3 linked regions of the Macaca fascicularis genome follow. The protein of the gene in region 3 purifies or fractionates together with the protein of the main gene of each other region. This does not show direct contact. Links are inferred from orthologs where the notes say so. Each region holds a gene or a part of one and is shown on either strand. Other genes may lie near its edges. The genes, in order: KDM5B, E2F3 and RB1.

The links.
Region 1: the proteins of RB1 (region 3) and KDM5B purify together in Homo sapiens (affinity purification with western blotting; 3 studies listed by BioGRID). This does not show direct contact. The link is inferred for Macaca fascicularis from reciprocal best matches to the Homo sapiens genes RB1 and KDM5B.
Region 2: the proteins of RB1 (region 3) and E2F3 purify together in Homo sapiens (affinity purification with western blotting; 9 studies listed by BioGRID and IntAct, with this or other methods). This does not show direct contact. The link is inferred for Macaca fascicularis from reciprocal best matches to the Homo sapiens genes RB1 and E2F3.

Annotation. Positions count from the first base shown.
Region 1 is NC_088375.1:60,485,924-60,489,577, forward strand, and holds part of KDM5B (lysine-specific demethylase 5B), read right to left. Parts: intron 1,059-3,654; coding exon 879-1,058; intron 251-878; coding exon 92-250; intron 1-91. UniProt on the Homo sapiens protein: Histone demethylase that demethylates 'Lys-4' of histone H3, thereby playing a central role in histone code. Does not demethylate histone H3 'Lys-9' or H3 'Lys-27'. Demethylates trimethylated, dimethylated and monomethylated H3 'Lys-4'.
Region 2 is NC_088378.1:152,463,031-152,466,784, forward strand, and holds the end of E2F3 (transcription factor E2F3), read right to left. Parts: intron 3,623-3,754; coding exon 3,360-3,622; 3' UTR 65-3,359; downstream 1-64.
Region 3 is NC_088391.1:27,597,596-27,601,249, reverse strand, and holds part of RB1 (retinoblastoma-associated protein), read right to left. Parts: intron 3,640-3,654; coding exon 3,526-3,639; intron 3,433-3,525; coding exon 3,269-3,432; intron 1,656-3,268; exon of another isoform or gene 1,525-1,655; intron 1,343-1,524; coding exon 1,312-1,342; intron 802-1,311; exon of another isoform or gene 1-801. UniProt on the Homo sapiens protein: Tumor suppressor that is a key regulator of the G1/S transition of the cell cycle. The hypophosphorylated form binds transcription regulators of the E2F family, preventing transcription of E2F-responsive genes.

The sequences.
Region 1 (3,654 bases), on a different chromosome or scaffold from region 3:
CTTGCCTTCTCCAAATTCCTATAAACCAGAGAGGGTCAGAAATTATTCTTCCCAATAACACAGAAAGGAGAAGAAAAAAACCCCTACATACAGCTGAAGCAGTCTCTTTGCTTTCAGTTAAAGCTCTCTCCAGGTCACTCAGACTCTCTAATTTGGTGCTTTTTTTCTTTCCATTTGGCAAGGGCTCCTTTAACTTTCTCTGTTTCCTTTTCAATCCCAAAAGGCCAATATCACATCGAGGACACAGCACCTAATGTGGGACAAAGCACAAGGAACGGTAAAATAAATTTCAGATAAAGCATTAAGTAGGAAGTCCCAAAATAAAAGCCTAAGCAGTAAAAAGGATGTGCATTTCTTAGTATTGAAGATTTTCTTTGGAACGTGCAACCCTCAGACTCTCCTTTACAAAAGGAGGAGGAAGACTCTTATGAGATTGACTGATTCCTGATTCAATTAACTAACAAGTAAAAAATGTGATATATACCAACTGATCCCAGTCATGATGCACAAGCAACAGTTTACAGAAAATACAAAAAGTGCAGTTAAAGCACTTTTAAAAGATGGGGGAGATCATTTATCAGGCTTACGAAATTCAGGTGGGTAAAACATGGCCAAGTTTAAGAGTCCAATTTCAACACAGAGGAATTTCACCCAGTAGGAAAAAATTTTCTTCTTTAAGATACTGTTATCCTAAATGAACCAAGAAAACATTTAAAGGTTGCTTCACCAGAAGATTAGAAGAATCTCCCTGGCTTTTCTGGAAGAACAACTCACAGAATATAGATTAATCTGTGATGTCATCTTTGCATGTGATGAACTGCATGTTTTACCAAACTAGGAGATCTAAGGTCTTGCAGATGAGCTGGTTGTAAACTTACCTCTAAGAGAGAATATGGAGAATTCTCAGTCAAGAATGTATTAACAGCACATTCTTTCCAAGCCTGAACCTCAGCTACTAGGGATTCCAGTCTTGGCAAAGAATTCAGATGTACCGGGATAGATCGGCCTCGTGTAACAAGTTCTATGAGTGTGTCTAACACTGGCACACGTCCTCCAGCCTAATAAATCAAGGAAAATTACAGCAGTTTAGAAAAAAGAACACTTCTATGAAAAACAGGAAAAGCATAAATCAGATTGGTTCACTGAGTACTTCAGATTACTCCAAGATCTCAACATGCTAAATTCACAAACAACATGCTAAATTCACAAATGTCAACCTGCCAGCTGACCAATAATGTTGGGGGTAGAAGTGACACTTAGAGAACCTAGTTTGGTCTTTTGTTGTTGGTGGTGTTTTTTTATTTTCTTTTTTTTTTCTTTTTTCTTCTTTTTTAAGACAGAGTATCACTCTTGCCCAGGCTGGAATGCAGTGGTGCAATCTCAGCTCACTGCAACCTCTACCTCCTGGGTTCAAGCAATTCTCCCACCTCGGCCTCCCAAACTGCTGGGATTATAGTGAGCCACTGTGCCGGGCCTAGAGAACCTAGTATATGCTAGACTCTAAGGATACAAATGTGAACATGGCATATACTGTGGTCCCTTTGTTCTATTTATACCCTTCTAAATTCACTCATCACATTGATCCCTACTGATAGTTTGAAAAAAATTTCAGCAGAAATGAAGGTTTGTAGAAACTCAAGACTTTCATACAGAATTATACAAATAAAAAGTAACAAAACAATATTTTACCCCAATCCACTCACCAATGATTAATTAAAGCGACTCAATATAAATTATTCAGGAAACTAAAATAAAAGTTGAGACAGCCCAGTGGTTCTCAAACTTTAGCATACATAAGAATCATCTGGAAGGCTTGTTTAAACAGTTTCCTTAGTCCTATCCCCAAATATTCTAATTCAGTGGGTCAGAGAAAGGTCCATAAATTTGCACTTCTAACAAGTTCCCAGGTGAAGCTACTGTTGCCAATGCTACTACTGCTGGTCTGGGAACTGTATTTTTAGAAAAAGATAGCCAAACTAGAAGGAGAGTAAAAGCATTAGGTTATGGAGGATGAAATGCATTGGTGTTGCTCTAATACAATGTAAAACTTAGCATCACTGATGTCAGGTCATCCAGATATGTCTCCTGTTGTGATGCAATACAGAATATACAGTATTACCTGACATTTTAATGCATTATATTAAAAAATGTTTAACTTGGATGCACCAGGGTTTTAAAACTAACTTCCAATTTATAGAAAATACAGAGAATAGAACACTCCACAAAGAAACAACCAAACAAATCCAGAAGGTGGAGTATACCACAGGATAACTGTCTAGTCAGTGACATGAGAAAAACTGGGGTAGGGAGGAAAACGCTACAAGATCAAAAGAAACTTAAAGAGATGCCAATTAGGTGCAATGTGTGTTCCTGGGTTAGACAAACAGCCATAAGGGACATTTTTGGGACAACTAGGGAAGACTGGGTAGGTTATTTTGCTGCCTTTGATATTTATTCTTAGAGGATTAAAACTGTTAGGGCATAAATGTTCTGATGGACACTTAAGAACGTGACTCATAAATTAATGCTATTCCTATGGTATTTAATTTAGAAATCCGAGTGCTTCCTATGTGTAAAGCAGAATACTGCCTAACATTTTAAAATAAATAATCCACTAAATAGAAAATAGTTCCTTGTTGTTAGTCATGTCTATTAGTCCTTAAATATATGATTCAAAAAAAAGGTAGGCTACTTTTTCAGGAATGAAGCAAAACTTGCCTTTTGCCCTTAATGGCACTGTTACAAACATAGTAAAAGTAGCATATACATATAAAATATGAAGGAAATAAACTCATCCAGAAGCATGCCCTTGCTTTCTGATTTTATATGCCAGCCTCTCCTTATTGCCATGAGCTCACCTTCTGGCTGCTAGCAATCATGGAGTAAAAAGGAGGACCATGACTAAAACTAATTACTACAGTACCAACTATCATTGACAAGTGCCTACATCTAAAACTCTCATTAACGAAGTTTACATCCATAGTAAATACTTTGTTTTTTTTTGTTTTTGTTTTGGCTTGCTGGAGTCAGTCCTTAATTATGTAATCTCCTCAAACAATATATCTTCTTTTCCCTATTAACAAGAACAGATGCCCAGATGCAAACATTTGTCTAGAATTGTCCTGTTTGGTACTTCTTGTTAGCAACTAGCCAATTAGCACCACTTAAAATTACACAAATATTCAGAAAGCCAGATAGTATTTTTATTTCTAGAATTTGAGGACTTCAACAAAACAGAACCTGAGACTTTTTTTTCTCAATAGGTCAGTAACACCTATTAGTTTATGATGATAAGAGATAAGGGAAGACATCCCCCATCAAACACTTTTCAAATTAAGTCATTCAGTCAGTCGTCTGAAAACTGGGAAAATCATATTAAATAATGCATTCTTTTTGTACCTTAACAATGCTACAAGTGAACTTAATTATTTTTTTAAACTTATATACAGGTCAAAAAGTATGACATCTAGCATAAAACCACAAATACTTGGTGGAAATGACTTTGGATACTTTGGATAATTACTTTGGAACTGGGTAGGTTTTTATTTCTTTTTAGGGTTGGGAGGGTACTTTGAAGTCACTACTTCATGAAAATTCTGGGCCTTGGGGCTTAGTTTGGGCATTTAGTCATATAACTAGATTTGTTGAATCTGC
Region 2 (3,754 bases), on a different chromosome or scaffold from region 3:
GAAAAAAAATTAAATTAATAGAGGAGCATAATATAATATTAAAGAAAACCCATCCACAAGCCTGAACTCTTAAAAAAAAATCATTTTATTGATCCTTTACCATACAAAATTTATTCAAATTACACCCATTTGAAGTGGTAAGATCACAGCTAGAGAACAGGTCACCCTGTAACAAATCTATTTACAAAATCCATCATAAAAGCTTTTTTTTGTGGTTGTTTTTTACATTATATTACATATTTTCTTTTTTAAACTAGCATACAACACAAAGCTAAACTGATTCGTAGTTTGCCTACTCCCAATTTTGGGAGAAATACTTCCTTTTTACAAAATCACGTACCCCGTAGGAAGAGAAATTCCCACACCCTGACAATTGCCACCCGACTTACTCTGCAAGCCATCTTCCTTCAAATCCCTCCTTCTCATACACACGAGTTGTCATGCACACACTGAATTCTTATTTTCTTTTTCCTGAAAGCTTAAGCTTTAAATACTGCAATTTTATTTACAGATCTACACGTACAACAAAAAAGAAAACAAGAACCACAACAAAGAACAGAAAAAACAACAAAACGAAATAACACTCTTAAAAAATTACAAACCAGCTAGAAAGTATTCTGGCAGTGTTTACAAATTAATTGCTATTTTTGTACAAAATTGCTAAATAATGAAAATGTGAGTAGACTACATATCCACTTAAATAAAACGATTGCTATGCACAACTCTGTACATATAAACACATACCTAACACTGTTTGACAGCTCATGTGTTGCCCTTTATACATTTTATTTTCTAAGGCTCACGCAGTCATAATTCGCACACTTGTAACTTTTAGCCATTTCGTGTGTGAGCTTTAATAGCAGCAACTCAATGGTACCAGGAAACCTGCATACTTAGTACTTAAAGTAACGCAAATACTGTAGTACTAACCCACTTTGTGTGCCGGATACTAAGTCAAAAAGAAAAGTACTTAATGCAAACAAAATACAGTATGGACATCTAATTAATGTACACCAGTTAAGCCCAGTAACTGGAAAAAAAATCTTATGCATGAAGGAACTTTTAAGACTTATTAGTATTCCTTTCATTTTTAAAACAATAAATACGGCATTACATTATGAAAAATTTCAACAAAACACACAACAATCTAGCCAGGTGAGCTCAGTCTTTAGACTTTGGAAAAAATCAGCTTTGTGCAGCTGGCAAAGAGAATTACACAAAGCTGGAAGCAGAGGCAGCTAACCAGATGAGATAAATATGGGAAATGGGGAAAAGCTTGGCATAAATGGTTTCCCATACAGGAAAAAACCCCACAGTGCATTTCCAGTAGGCACTTGACACAAAGCTCCCTCTCCCTCCCCCACCCCAATGCTTCATCTAGGACCACACCGACATTTTGTACCAAGTCCAGTGTGTGTGAGGGGAGGAGGCCAGGGATGGAGGCTGAAGAAGAAAAAAGGAAGATAGTCTGCACCTTTGTTTTTCTTCCCAAACATACACCCACGCATACCCACACAAAGAGTTTAAAGTGCTGGTGTCATCTGTCTTGACCCCACCACCACTTTGCATATTGTGGAAATCTACCTGGAGTAAACTGGCTGGGGCTCTTGTGGTTTTTTGTTTGTGTTTTTAAAATTTTTTCCTAAGGGATATTTTCAATTCAATTAAACATATGAGTTGAGTGCCTACTATGTGCCTACCATTGGGTCAGGCACATAGCATTTCAATTTAACTGTTCGTTTTGAGGTTTGTTCTTGATCTGACTCCCTCATTCCCGCAGTCCTTAGCATCCAAGGAATGGACCGGAGATACTACGCCATATTCCCAGGGGGAGATGGCCACTGCCACTTGCCCGAGGGAAGGCCATTCTTGGACACAACTGGTAGGATTTGCAGCTGACACAAAGCCTCCAACTTGGGACACCATTCCTGAAGAGTAAAGCGGGAGACGCCCTGGCATTGTTTTGCTTCATTTTCTACGTCCCCGACTTCCCTTGGTCCAACTGATTCCTTCATAGAGGAAGGGGAACAGGGTCTGGCCAGAACTATTCCAGCCCCCGACACAGGGCTGCTCCCTGTTCCTGCCAGCTTAAGGAAATGCCACTCACACAATGGGGATGTCTTTCTCCCTAGAGGTCTCTCCATCTGACCCCATCCTGAGAAGTGGTCTCCCTGAGTGCGGTGTAAGAGAGCCCTTTCCCCCGTCACAGGGGCCCGGGAAGCCCAAGGATGGAGGGACCCATGCTTGCTGCTCCTTGGGGCTGTTACGTCATCTGACATGGTTCTCCTTTCCAACGGGCCGCCCATGTCAGCAACCCCCAGGACTGACTCGCTCCAAGCTCCCCCTCCTGGGAATGGAAGCACGATGGGACAAAGCTCCTTGCAGAGGCTGATAAACCTTAGATCACACAGGTTTAGATGCTCGATCAGTAGAGGTTCTCTCCCTCTGCTTAAGTAATGTGAATTTGCAAAAACCGCTTCAAAGTAAACAATTAAATTGAAATGGTGATGGGTGCCACAGGAATGCTTAAATGGCAGCTAAAACAATAAAAAGTCTAAAACAATCCACAAAGAACTAAGTAGGCATTTGCTACAAATCAACTGGAAACTCACAAACACATTGGGGACAGGGGAATGGGAGTGGTTCATGGAGACAGGAAAATCCACAACAGCTTAGAGTGGCAGAACTCTACTAGTCTTCTGTATCTGCAACAAGTATATTTGAAAACAGGTTCTTCATCCAGAAGGCTGTGGAGGTTTTCTTGACCTCCTACTGGGACACACAGTTCATAGCTTAAACTGAATTATGACAGTAATTTAAATATTCCTAAGAAGAGCTGAAGAAATCCATTTCATACTTTTGCATGACTTCAAGTTTGCATTTGCTGCAGTTCCATTCCATATTAGCAGACCCCAAAGACATGCATTCTGCGGAGAAGGCACGGCTTGAAATGCTATTAAGGAAGATTGCTGTTTCCCAGCGGGCCAGGTGGCCAGACCCCATTCTACAGCCCATCCGTCAGGCACAGCAAGCCAATCCGGGGAGGAAGGAGGAAGGAAAAGTCGGGGTGAGAGACACCTGATTGCACATTTTCTCACTTGCTGACTTAGCCAGGAGATCTTGGAGCCTGGAGTAAAGCAGGGCTTTCCCAAGGGAGCCTGCAACTGTGCGTTTAGACAATTTGTTTATTAATTTTTTAAAAAATTCATTAAAATGTCAGCTTTCTTCTGAAGTTTGTAGTTTACTTCATGATACTCTCTTGGAGGAAGAAGGTAGGAAGGGACAACAGTGCATGACAGATGTTCTGGTTCCATGATAAAAAAATATCGGTTTTTAAGGAGAGTTCACACGAAGCATAATCAACTACACATGAAGTCTTCCACCAGTGGGAGCTTTTCCAAATCGTAAGCATCAAAGAGATCGCTGATGCCTTCCTCCTCCCCGAGGCTCAGGAGATAGTCCTCTTGCAGCAGGGGAGGCAGTAAGTTCACAAACGGTCCTTCTAGGTTGGAAGGAATTTGGTCCTCAGTCTGCTGTAAGAGGTTGGCTGGGGAGGCCAGAGGAGAAAGGTTTCCCATAGAAATCGAGCAATCGCTATGTCCTGAGTTGGTTGAAGCCAAGTCTGAAAGGAAAACATGGGCGGAAACAAAAAATAAGTTAGAAAAATCAAATGAATTTTTCTGGAAGAATGTATATGTTGCTGTTAGAAGAAAGCATGCGCCTTCTGCTAATAATGACAATGAGATGACTTTAT
Region 3 (3,654 bases):
TTGAGGCAGGATCTCATGTAAACAATTCCTAATCAGTGTACCAGAAAAAGAATATCCTAGAAGTCTGAGAAGTCTGAGAGGAAGGACAAGCAAAAAGTGCATATGTATGGAAGGAGACCAGTAGGCAGGGACAGGCTGGTGACATTTGGATATCGGGTTTACATTTTGGAGTATCTCATTTCAAATCACACTCATAATGAGTGAATTTCAAAACTGTTTTATAAAATTCCTGTGAGGTTATGTACATACATACATGGTATCATAGAGAGATATTTGTTCTTTGTCCCCGGTTCCTGGAACAGAGCTCCTAAAACCCTTCGAATTTCCTGAGTGATAAGGGTAATGGGACCCTCTTTTGTTCTAATGAGGTGATACTTAGTGCATACCTAGCTAATTTAGGATGAAGCTGGTTGCCAGAAAGACCAGGTCTTGAGCAGAAGCTTGGAACTTTCAGCCCCACCCTCTATCCAGGGATGGGAGGGGGTTGGAGATTGAGTTAACCAATTATGCCTACATAATGAAACCCCTATAAAAACCCCTCAACAATAAGGTTGGGAGACCTTTGGAGTTGGTAAACATGTCTAAGTGCTAGGAAGGTGGTGCACCCCAACTCCCCAGGGACAGAAGCCCCTGTGCTAGGGACTCTTCTGGACCTCACCCTATATAATACTTCTTCATCTGGCTGTTCATTTGTATCTTTTATGATGAACTGATAATAGTAAGTAAAATATTTTCCAGAGTTTTGTGAGTAGTTCTGGCAATGGATCAAACCTGTAAGGAAGAGGCACTACTGGAACCCCCCAACTTTGTATCCAAGTCAGAAGGAAGTATGGTGTAGCCTGGGGACCTGACACTTGTGACTGGTGTCTGCAGTGAGACCAGTTTTGTGGGACTGAGCCTTGAACCTGTGGAGTCTGATGCTGACTCTGAGTAATTAGTGTCAGAATCGAATTGAATTGTAGAACACCAGAGAGTTGAAGATTTGTGTGAGAAAAAAATCTTACACATTTGGTGACAGAAGTGTTATGAGCAAAAACAGCTCACGTATATATGTATGTATATACACAAATGTATATATGTATTATATAACCTCAAATGAATATTTAGAAAAGTTTTGAAGTTCACCAATTAGGAGTATGATTTGAGATTAGGAGTATTTTTTTTATATATATATATATCATAAATTTCTATGCAATATGCCTGGATGAGGTGTTTGAATAATTACATTTAGAAACTCGAATTATTGAAAGCTTTAATTTCTTTTATACTTACAATGCATACTATTATATTTCATAGAAAGAAAATACTCACCCCAAATGATTCACCAATTGATACTAAGATTCTGTCAAGTTAAGATGAAATGCCAATTAGTAATAAAAAATCATATACAATTTTGCAGAGACGAGCATAGATACATCATTCTGAACTATTAGGAATACTAAATTAAAGGTTACCTCTACCCTAGAACTACTGACAAACTATATTCATTTGGGAATTATTGTAACAGTGCCCATTTAATCATATACTCACCTAGTCTCTTAGTTTTACAGCAAAAGTTATAAGTCTGCAAGAACATATTCTGCTATTGCCCATATTTAGGGAGGGCAAAGGAAAGTTTCAAGTTTACCCCTACTGAGTTCTTCGTAAATCAATGGGTAAGTTATCAAATTTCTTTCATATTTTCTCATTTAAAATTCAAGTAATATTTGGAAAAAACTTACAATATTAAGTAATAATCAGACTTCTAATTAGCCTCTATACTGATATAGTAAAGGCTATCATATATCATATATGGAGTCAGAAATCTTTATTAGTCTGTCTTTATTTGAACCATATAATTTATGTTCTTGATAATAAATCTGAAGAACATCATTAGACTGACATGACTCAACAAAGATTTGAAAACATGAACATGGAACTAGTGAATATAGAGAATTTTTTGTCCTCTAATTCCTTGATAAGTGGCCATCATTCTACATATAATATTTGATTAACCAGAACACCTAAATGTACCAGGTAGTGTTAAGATGCTCTCCTAATGCCTGGTCAATGATTTATTAGTTAGGAGGTTCAGAATGTGACTTTCTTGCTAAAGAATACCAACACAGAATTTATTTCACTAAGGATCAGCAAGTAGCCATCATTATCACCATAATATGGACTAATTATCACTATTAAAGAAAACTACCTAAGTATACATTTTCATATAGTGGCATGGAACAATGTAAATTTTCTTAAATAGACATGACGTGGCATCTTAGCAGCTTAGAACAAGTAGTAGGTATCAGTACACAGATATCCAACTACAAGAACACCAAATAAATAAAGGATGATACAGAGGCACATGAGAGCATTTGTATCATATTGCCAATTATTTCTCACTTCATATTTTTCTGTAGAGTTTGAAATTTTTATAATGAGTACGTACTACTTAAATAATTAAATATACCATGCAAATGTTTTCTGAAAGGCCAACATATTCCCCTTTTCTTGCCCATTAGGTACAACCATATGGGCTGATAATTTCTGAGATGAGACTACATTAACTATACTAGCTAATCTGCCTCCTACTTTACACAAATAAAGTCAGTTTCAAATAGCCCGTGATAACATATAATTAGTCAATTGAAGCACTTCAAAGCCAGAGAGCACTTGTGGTTGGATGTGGAAGATAATATAATGATTTGTAGTTGCACACAACCTTTCATCTGAGCATTTAAAACAGCTTCATACTCATCATTTCCCTGATCCACAGCACCCTTGTGAAGTACAGATAGAGACCTGCCCAAGGTAAAGTGGTAAAGTGGCCGCCAGCAGGATTAGGGATGGACCTCTAAAGACTTAATTGACAGTAATCTACATTTAATATAACAAGCAAAATGAACAAAATCCACAGGAAGCAAAATTTACAGGACATCCAATAAACTACAAACTAAAAGTACTCAACCTAAAGTAACCTGCTTTGTTTAGCAGATTGGCTACTTAGAAAAATATGAAAGTGTTTTGAAACATATAACCAAACTGGTTCTCAAATTGTTTACAAAAGAAGATACCCTAACAGTCAGGAAATCTGATAAGTAAATGTGTAAACTCATCCAAGTAAATAGATTTTCTTTCTCTCCATATTCTTATTATGTTACTTAAATAAGCAAATAGAGTTTCAAGAGTCTAGCTTATTTGAAATGAAGAAAGCTTTATATTTTTTATTCTTGGATCAAAATAATCGCCCTCTCATTCTTTACTACTTCCATAAAGAGAAAACACACACCTTGATCTTGGAGTCATTTTCGTGGGTGTTGGCAGACCTTCTGAAATTTTATATGGACTCTTCAGGGGTGAAATATAGATGTTCCCTCCAGGAATCCGTAAGGGCGAACTAGGAAACTTGTAAGGACTTCGAGGAATGTGAGGTATTGGTGACAAGGTAGGGGGCTAGAGCAAAAACAGAAAAGTAGACCATTTATTTAATGTTTTGGTGGACCCATTACATTAGATTTTTCCAGTCAAAGGATACTTTCGACCTACCCTGGTGGAAGCATACTGCAAAATATTTGTTTTCAGTCTCTGCATGAAGACCGAGTTATAGAATACTATAATAGAATCATACTCCTCTTCTTTGATCAAAACACGTTTGAATGTCTGAGAAAGAACAGT